2 linked regions of the Rattus norvegicus genome follow. Each later gene encodes a partner of the first gene's protein in a complex. Links are inferred from orthologs where the notes say so. Each region holds a gene or a part of one and is shown on either strand. Other genes may lie near its edges.

Region 1 (4,452 bases):
TAGCAAATACTAAGAATACAAACTAATGAGCCTGCAATAAACAAGGCAGCTAAGTACAATAGAAATGGATAAACTTCTAAAGAGAGCTTGAGTTAGATCTTGAAAGCTGACTGGACCTGAAGAAGACAGCTGAGAAAGTGGCCTTCTCCAGAGAGCAAAGCCACCAAAGATACTGGCAGAAAAAAAAATGGGGGGGGCGGGGGGGGGGACGCACAACTGGATCTCCTACTTGAAAGGCAGGCTTAGCCAAGTGTCTGGCTTCTATCCCTTAGAAACGCTGAGGATCCTAGAATATCATATTAGAAGCATTATGATATGGGAAAATTAATTTCGTATTGACACAGATCTACTGAAGAAAAAAAGAGACTTAATTTACATTTTCCCTGTGACACACGTTTGCTCCAAAAAGAGCACTTACACTGAAGTAGGTACCTGCAGTTAACCCCTTACTGATGTACATCCGTGGACCATTCTCTACTTTTATCAAGTCAACACAGAGAAGACACTCAAAAGGATACACAATATTCAGGAGTGATCTTACAAGCGATTTAGGAATGCAGTCAACACCTGTTTTGAATGTAGTTTTGAGGGTATTTAGTTAATTTGAAATTCACTATAGTAAAACGGGGGTTGGGGGACGCTTAACAGAATAACTCTACGAAGGAAAAAAATGCACTCATTTATTTTAGTTTTGAAGGGGAAAATTCGGTAGGTTAAAAAGGATAAGCCCTTTTCCTTACCCTTATTTCTACATTCCTTGATTTCAGGTTAAAGCGTATCTGAAGTCCTAAATGTTCAACAATCGGGGTAAATATCTTCATCCAGTTTTCTTTTAATGGTGTGTATCTGTTAGCTGGGACGGGAATTTTTCTCGTTTCTTCTTTCCCAGTCTGCAATAAAAACAAACACACACTCAGAAGGCGAGTGGAGAGATGCGGGCTGGAAAGGTGAAAACCGAGAATAGACCCTTTCGTCTGCCTGGGCCCCGCCCCGTCCCATCCGGATCCCCACCAGGAGCTGATCTCCCGAGAGCGGCGGGAAGACCGGCCTCTTCGCCGGCCGCGCCTCCTCCGTGTCCATGCGTCCAGCGTCTCCATCCTGTCCCGCCGCTGACGATTGCTCAGCCTGTCGCTTCTTCGCCCGGCGGCCCCCTCTGTGCGTGACGGGAGTAAAGCCGTCCTCCGTCCCGGTGTTTTGCGTCTCCATCTCGGCCATGTTCAACCCGGATAAGTGCAACCACTGGAACACGTGCGAGGTTGTGCCGCGCATGCGCCAGCCTCCACCAATCAATTTGAAGGCTCCGCCCCTTTTCCGAGGCGGGGTCCATGCGGGGGGCCTAGGGCAGGATTGGTCCGCGGTTCGGAATGGCTGCCCTAGAATATGCCTGTTTGCTAATGTCTCCGTGCCGTCTCGCGCTCGCAGCCAAAGCATTCACATTCTCTAATGTGTCTATGTGAAAACGTTGTGGTAAAGGCGGTAAATCAGCTTGTGCCGTGTGTGGAGAAGTATCTGGTGCGGTCTCAGCAGCTCACCCGGCATTTTCGGAGGCAGCCAAGCCCAGCTTGCTAAGGCGTCCGGGTTGAGTGCGGCTAGGGAGGGACAAACTGCCCCTGAGATGTTTGCAGTTTGGTTACCAGGTTAGCGTTTGGCTGCTTCTGCACCATGTCCACCTTCGAGAAGCCTCAGATCATTGTCCATATTCAAAAGGGCCTCAACTATACAGTGTTCGACTGCAAATGGGTGCCCTGCAGTGCCAAATTCGTGACGATGGGCAACTTCGCCCGGGGCACCGGCGTTATCCAGGTGTACGAGATCCAGCGCGGGGACCTAAAGCTGCTGCGGGAGGTGGGTGCAGGCTTGGATCTGTTTGGGTTTGCGTGGGTCTGCATCTCTCTTTGCCACAGCAGAAACAGAAAGGAGATTACAGATTGAGGAATACTTCAGAGTTAAAACTTTAACATCCCAAAATCTCCTTGCAGAGCTAGTACCTCGGCTCACTGCCAGCCTCTGCCTCTCGCCATTCTCGGTGCAGTCGATTGCAGGGTTTCTGGGAAGCCAAGTGGACATTGCTTGGCAACGTTCGAGGACCATTTAGGCTGTTGGCAATTGTTGTAGTCTACTAGTAGGTCTATGTAATAAACCCACGTGCCATGCCAGCAGAACCAAATGAGGCACCAGCAGGAGACCTACCACGAAGTTGGTGAAGACTAGTAAATACCCCATTCTTTCACAAAGTGTCAGTTCAATGCCTGGTAAGGCCCAGACATGGGAATTGCAATGCCAACGATCTTACGGAATTTATTTTCTGTTGGGGGAGACAGTCAAACAGCCAGACCAAGGATGCATAATGTAAATCAAGATGAGTTTTCTAATACACAGGTCTGTGAAAGTAAAAACAGATTTAGGATGAGTAGTAAGCAACTAAGGCAAATGCAGAGTAGAATATGACGTTTCCAGAAGAAACAACATGAGATAGTGGTGGAAGATCGTTATCTTTTAAAAAACAAAAACCCAAGCTGGAAGTGGTATTGCACAACTTTAATCGCAGCGTTCGGGGGTAGAAGCAAGAGAATTTCAGTTTGAGACCCTGTTTGCAGCGATCACAACCCCTGTTAAAAAAAAATTACCATACACATATAAAAGGGGTAAGTAGGGACCATTGCAAGATCTGTAAGACATTTAACAGATTTGTCCTTTTTTTTTCTTTAAGAAAAGCAGGACACCACTGAAGAACTTTTAGGAGGATAATGAATGACCAGATTACAGGTTTTGTAAAAGGCTGCCAGGTAGCCAATTACAGAATGGTGACAGTAATTGACATTTTCCCCCTTCCTTCCCCTCTCCTCCCCTCCTTTCTCCTTCCCTTTCCTGTACATGTTTTTTGTTTTTTTTTTTCCCTGCATGTATCTGTGTGTACCATATGCAAGTGCACCTGGTGTCCCAGGAGGCCGTAAGAAGGTATTGGATGCGCTGGAATGGAGTTCCGGTGGTTGTGAGTTACCTTGCGGGCCATTCTGCTCTTAATCACCAGGTTGTGTCTTCAGCCCACACTGTTCACGCTTTAAAACTCTTTCTTTCCTTTCTTTCCGAGATGGGTGTTTTCTGTTATCCAGTTGGCCTCAAACTGTTAAACCAGCTTCTCAGGGGGCTGGGATTCAGGCCTGGAGCCACAGTGCTGAGTTGTGGCTAAGGAACAATTTTATAGTTCCTTAAGGTTTTCAGAATGTTTCTATTTGGGTTGACTGAAACAGATAACAGTTTGTTGTTGAGGTGCTGAGAGTTGATAAGAAACTAGGGCAAGTAGGAGATAAATAAACTTGCATGGCAAGCTATGTGTTCCTTCCCTGAGCTTTGCTGAGAGCCTGTTTTCTGGTTTAGTTCCAACTCTATAGCCAGGCATTGGACTTGGAGATTCTAAACATGGTTTGATGCTTCCCGCCTTGCCTTGTGTTCCTCACTGCTTAACGCGCAGTCAACTCTTGCCAGTCCAGGGGCCAGTTCGGATTATCTGATCTCTGCTCAAGGAACCTTTCAGTACATTCCACTCCTATAATACTGACTGTCTGTGGCAGAAATAAACAGTCTGCCGCATAAGCCAGAAAGCAGTGCCTTCTCCTGTGCTTTGTAAAGACCAGTCTCTCAGTACACATTCATTCAAAGAATGAAGACTGAATGAACCTGAGACCCAGTTTTAAATACTGGTGTAGGGATTGCCAATCAGTGTTTCTGGTAAGGACTCTGAACAAGGAAGCATTGGCATAAGAGAAGCCTTAAAGTGAGGGCCAGTCAGCCCTCAGCCAGAAAGCATTTACAGGCTTGTGTTTTGCTTTCCCAAGAATTACAATTTTTTTTATATAGTTTAGTAATAAGTTATTCGAAGTGAAATAGTGTTTATCTCTTCTAATTTCTGAAGAATGCTAGCAAAGTCTTATTTATTTATTCATTTTTAGTGAAAGTAATATGTGTTTATGAGAGAACGTTTAGGAAATATAACTAGGGATAAGAAATTGTCATACCTAACCTGAACCACAAGAATGACGACTTTGATGTTTTGCTTCCTTTTCACTCCACTAGTAATTACTGAGGCTGCCATTAGAGGTACTGGGCTAAAAAAGAACATTTCTAAGGAACACGTTAGAAACAAAGCAACTTTCAGAACTTAATGTTGTATTCGTTTGCGCTGCAGCAGAAAAGCGTGCAGGTTAAATACAGTCAGTGGTTCTCACTGCATCAAAGTTTATTTCTGTGTTTGGTTGCTAATCATGGCTGTGTACAAGATTTAAAATACCCATGCCTTGCTTATTAGAAATGCGACCTTCTGCTAGTTGATTTTGGTGAGTGCCAGAGTTGAGAACTTTTGGACCAGGTAGATTACTTACCTAAATTTTAGGAGGCATACTCATTTTGTTATGATGAATTGCATCAAGACTTGCTCCGAACCCACTGCACTCA
Region 2 (4,448 bases), on another chromosome or scaffold:
TGGCTAAGAACAAAAACTCAGGTGACAACAGATGCTGACATGGATGTGGAGAAAGAGGAACACTCCTCCATTGTTGGTGGGTTTGCAAGCTGGTACAGCCACTCTGGAAATCAATCTGGAGGTTCCTCAGAAAATTGGAAGTAGTACTATCTTAGGACCCAGTTATACCACTCCTGGGCATATACCCAAAAGATGCTCTAACGTATAACAAGGACACATGCTCCACTATGTTCACAGTAGCCTTATTTATAATAGCCAGAAGCTGGAAAGAATCAAATAACCCTCAACAGAGGATGGATATAAAATGTGGTATATTTCTACAAAAATAATGACTTCATGAAATCCATAGGCAAATCGATGGAACTAGAAAATATCATCCCTAGTGAGGTAACCCAATCACAAAAAAAAAAACAAAAAACAAAAAAACAAAAAAAAAAAAACCACATGGTATGCACACTCACTGATAGTGGATATTAGCCAAAAATCTCGAATTACCCAAGATCCAATCCACAGACCACATGAAGCTTAAGAAGGACGACCAAACTGTGGATGCTTCAGTTCTTCTTAAAAGGGGGAGTAAAAATATTCATAGGAGGAGATATGGAGACAAAGCTTGGAACAGAGACTGAAGGAATTGCCATTCAGAACCTGCCCTACCTGAGGTTCCAGCCCATAAACATACAATATTTCTGATGCCCAGAAGTGCATGCTGACAGGAGCCTGATACAGCTGTCTCCTGAGAGGCTCAGTCAGAGCATTACAAATACACAGGCAAATGCTAGCAGCAAACCATTGAACTGAGAACGGGGTACCATTGGAGGAGTTAGAGAAAGGATTGAAGGAGGTGAAGGAGCTTGCAACCCCATAAGAACAACAATACCAACCAACCAGAGCTCCAGGGACTAAATCACCATCCAAAGACTATATACATGGACAAACCCATGGCTACAGCTGCATATGTAGCAGAGTATGGCCTTGTTGGGCACTAAGGGGAGGAAAAGTCCTTGGTCTTACCAAGGCTGGATCCTCATTGTTGGGGAATGTCAGGGTGGGGAGGTGGGAAGCGGTTGGTGGTTGGGGACGGGGAACACCTTCATAGAAGAAGGGGAAGTGGGGATGGGATACGGTGTTTATGAATGGGAAACCGGAAAGGGGAATAACATTTGAAATGTAAATAAAAATATCCAATTTAAAAAATTAAAAAAAAAAAGCCAAGACCACAGTGTTAGGCACACTACTGATTAGTGATTTATTTTTACATAGCATCCGCTAGGGGGCAACACAGACCATTCATAGACTCTCCAGCCAAGCCAGACGAACCTTTAGCCAAAACTAATGTGCGCTGATGCACAGCTACTTAAAGTCGGAGTTCCAGGATCTAGTATCCACGCCTGCTACTGAGCAGGCGTAAATATGCGCACTCCATTGGTCGAGGTTCCGGAAGGGGCAGGGTCCTGAAAGGAACACTGGCTTCCGGTTGGGCCTGCCGCCTGCTGTTTCATCCACCGCGGTTCCTCCGTTCGGTGCGGCGTGGCGATGCCTAGCGGTGCGGAGCACCCCGGAGACAGCGCCGCGCCGGGACCCACCCGCACATCGACCGCGCACGCCGAGGCCCTTAGCAGTAAGGTGCCGTGGGACGCCGAGGATGGGCGGTGGGCGGCGGGCGGCGGGAAACGGGTCCCGCGGTCGCATCGGTGCCCAGTAGCCTCACCGGTCCATTCTCAGCACCGGCCGCTGGTTTCCCCTGCGTCCTGCAGATTTGCTATGATGGAGGCACAGATTTATCCACTGCAAACAACAGTGATACTGAGACAGAGGTCTTAATGACGTTTTTCCTTTACGCGTTTGCACCACTCTCCTCTCGGAACCCTTCACACATGTGATCTGTTGCTCGTTGGCTGTGCTTCATCCATTTAGCCATGTACCCGCCTGGACGCCATCCATGACGTCCATCATGAAAGTTTAGAAATCTGCCCGTTCTTCCAGACTCAGGCAAAATTTTCTTAACCGAAGTTATCAGTTGCCTGTTGACCTTAAAATATATTCTCACCTTTAAGTGATCCTAAAAACATCAGTTTGGTCATCTCTTTATTATTCAACCAGGACTGTAGCAGATTAATTTTTTCCCTTCCTCTTTTTGGGATAGGGTTTCATAAGTAGCTCAGGCCAGCCTCAAATATTGTTTGAGGATCACCTTGAATTATTCTCTTGCCTAATAGTCAGGATTTCAGGGAGGCAACCCCATACCTGAACTGTACAGTGATCTCAACTTCCAGTTACAGACAAAAATCTTTAAACGTGTGGATTGGAGGGGGTGTGGGTGCAGCCTTTTCAGTTATTAAACATCCTGAATTCCATATTTTTTTTCTGTCCTGTATGACATCTTCAGTACATTGCCTTATTTCCAGTGTGCCACAGTATTCTGTGGTGTCACCTAAAGTGAGATATATTATATACCTGTCGTTTGTAGTGAGCATAAAAGCGCTGTACAAGCAGCCTTGAATCTCAGGGAGGGTGTACTCAATGTAGCTTTGTCGTATGTTAGTACAGCTCTTAGCACTGCCCATGCACACTCATTTGGGTGGGGATGAGTTTTCAGAATACTCTGGCTACTGCCATAGCAAGCCTCTTGGCACTGTGTAGCTGTGTCAGTGTAGACTTATTGCCTATTTGGGCATTTCATCTGATGATAAGGAACAAACTGAGCTTAAGGATACCAGCAGTATGCTGTCCTTAATACTCAAAATAGAATGATACAAGGGTGGGAGATGATGTTGTACCACTGCAGGAAGGGCGTTCGTTCAGTACCGTTCCGTTCATTTTATCCGAATGTCTGGCTGTCATCCAGTGCATACATCATAAAACCACTGGCTATTGGTAAAGAGGAGAAGCCACATTCATTTCTCTTTTTTAGTCTACAGCCAGGCCTTATAAAATTAAAAGATTGGTATTAATTTGGCTAGACAGTGTCTCACCCTGGTTAAAGATGTGAGCTGTGGTAACTGGCGCCTGGCAAGTCTAAGTCAGCTTCTTTCTCCAGCTGTCTTCTACTGGTTCCAGCCTGAGTGTGGTTGCATCTGTACAGTATCCATTTAGACAGGCAGTCCATGACAGGCCCCAGTCCCATGTTTTGTTTTAAAGCAGTTGCTAAAAATGTGCTCACTAAACATAGTTTGAAAACTTCCACTTTAGGTTTTTTTCTTTACTTTAATAGATTAAAGAACAGAAAGTTATTGTGGATGAACTTTCTAACCTGAAGAAGAATCGGGTAAGTTGCTGTGGGAATCTGAATAGTATATATATATATAATATTAAAATTATGATTTAGATTATTTATGCTAACATTGCAAAATTCAAACATCGTAATTTAAAAACTAAAGTGATATCCTCATTTGGTTTTGCATGTTTTAAATTTGTTCTTCCTGTATAAGTCAGTAGATCTCAAAGATGAAAAAATTATATTTTAACAAAAAAGAATGAAGTTTTCCATAGAAAACTTTAATATTCCAAATACTTAACCCATTTCATGGCTTTTAAATAAATGTGTTAATAAATCAGCTACAATTAACTAATAATCGACATTTCTGATATTGTCATTTGTGAAATATTAGATGCTAGGGCAAATTAATACAGAAATTTTTGGAGATCAAACTGGCAAAATGAGTAAATGCTGTATGACACTTCAGAGTAACCGGTGTGGAAGCAGTTGTGAGGATGAATGCGTGTTTACCTGCAAAGGTACTTGCCAGCATCTGTAGTGAAGAGTTGACAGAACAGTAAATGACTGAGCTTGAAGGCAGTAAAGAACTATACATTGTACCAATGTGGTGATATAAAAGAACCTTCCTTGGTCAGAAAAGATCTCCATGTATTATTCGTTTATGAACTAAATTATAAACCTGTTGCTGTGATAGCCTTTGTTATTTGAAAGACTATGGTGTGATGACACATGTGAAGCAAACAACCGTCTCTGGGTGGCATAGTGATCAGTGACTTTGTTTATCTGTGGTAATCACTCTTCTGAATATTCCTGAAGTTCAAGAGTGGGTGATAAGAGGATCCTGTTCAACATCACTGTGCAAGTCGCATTCTTCTTTTTTATTAGCATGTCATGGGTACTGCGGCCTGAAGCATGGACTTTCAGTGCAAGGACATGATTGTCATGACCCTGGGACACCACTCATGGGTGGCTAGGAATATTGGTGCTGTATGATGGAGTGAATGGACTGTGACATAGTAGGTGCTCTCATAGCACAACACAGGAGAAAGCAGAATACAGACTTCATTGCCAATGATTAAGAACCACTGTCAGTTCTGTAACCAATGCTAAGGGAGCCTTGGGAGCCTTTTCCTCTTGCAATTGAGGCAGAGCTTTCGTTCATTTCTTGAGAGCTTTGACTGCTCAGGACTATAGCCAAGCAGTACCTTATCACAGTGCGTGCTTGCTT

What was found.
Region 2: Dnaaf10 (region 1) and Asdurf share a complex: the UniProt entries of both Homo sapiens proteins name them as parts of the PAQosome complex. The link is inferred for Rattus norvegicus from reciprocal best matches to the Homo sapiens genes DNAAF10 and ASDURF.

What each region holds. Positions count from the first base shown.
Region 1 is NC_086032.1:95,818,652-95,823,103, forward strand, and holds the start of Dnaaf10 (dynein axonemal assembly factor 10), read left to right. Parts: upstream 1-1,620; 5' UTR 1,621-1,662; coding exon 1,663-1,845; intron 1,846-2,379; exon of another isoform or gene 2,380-2,920; coding exon of another isoform or gene 2,921-3,031; intron 3,032-4,452. Other genes in the region: RNA-binding protein PNO1, read right to left, coding at 741-890, 1,012-1,215. UniProt on the Homo sapiens protein: Key assembly factor specifically required for the stability of axonemal dynein heavy chains in cytoplasm.
Region 2 is NC_086027.1:55,617,320-55,621,767, forward strand, and holds the start of Asdurf (ASNSD1 upstream open reading frame protein), read left to right. Parts: upstream 1-1,479; 5' UTR 1,480-1,536; coding exon 1,537-1,626; intron 1,627-3,214; coding exon 3,215-3,268; intron 3,269-4,448.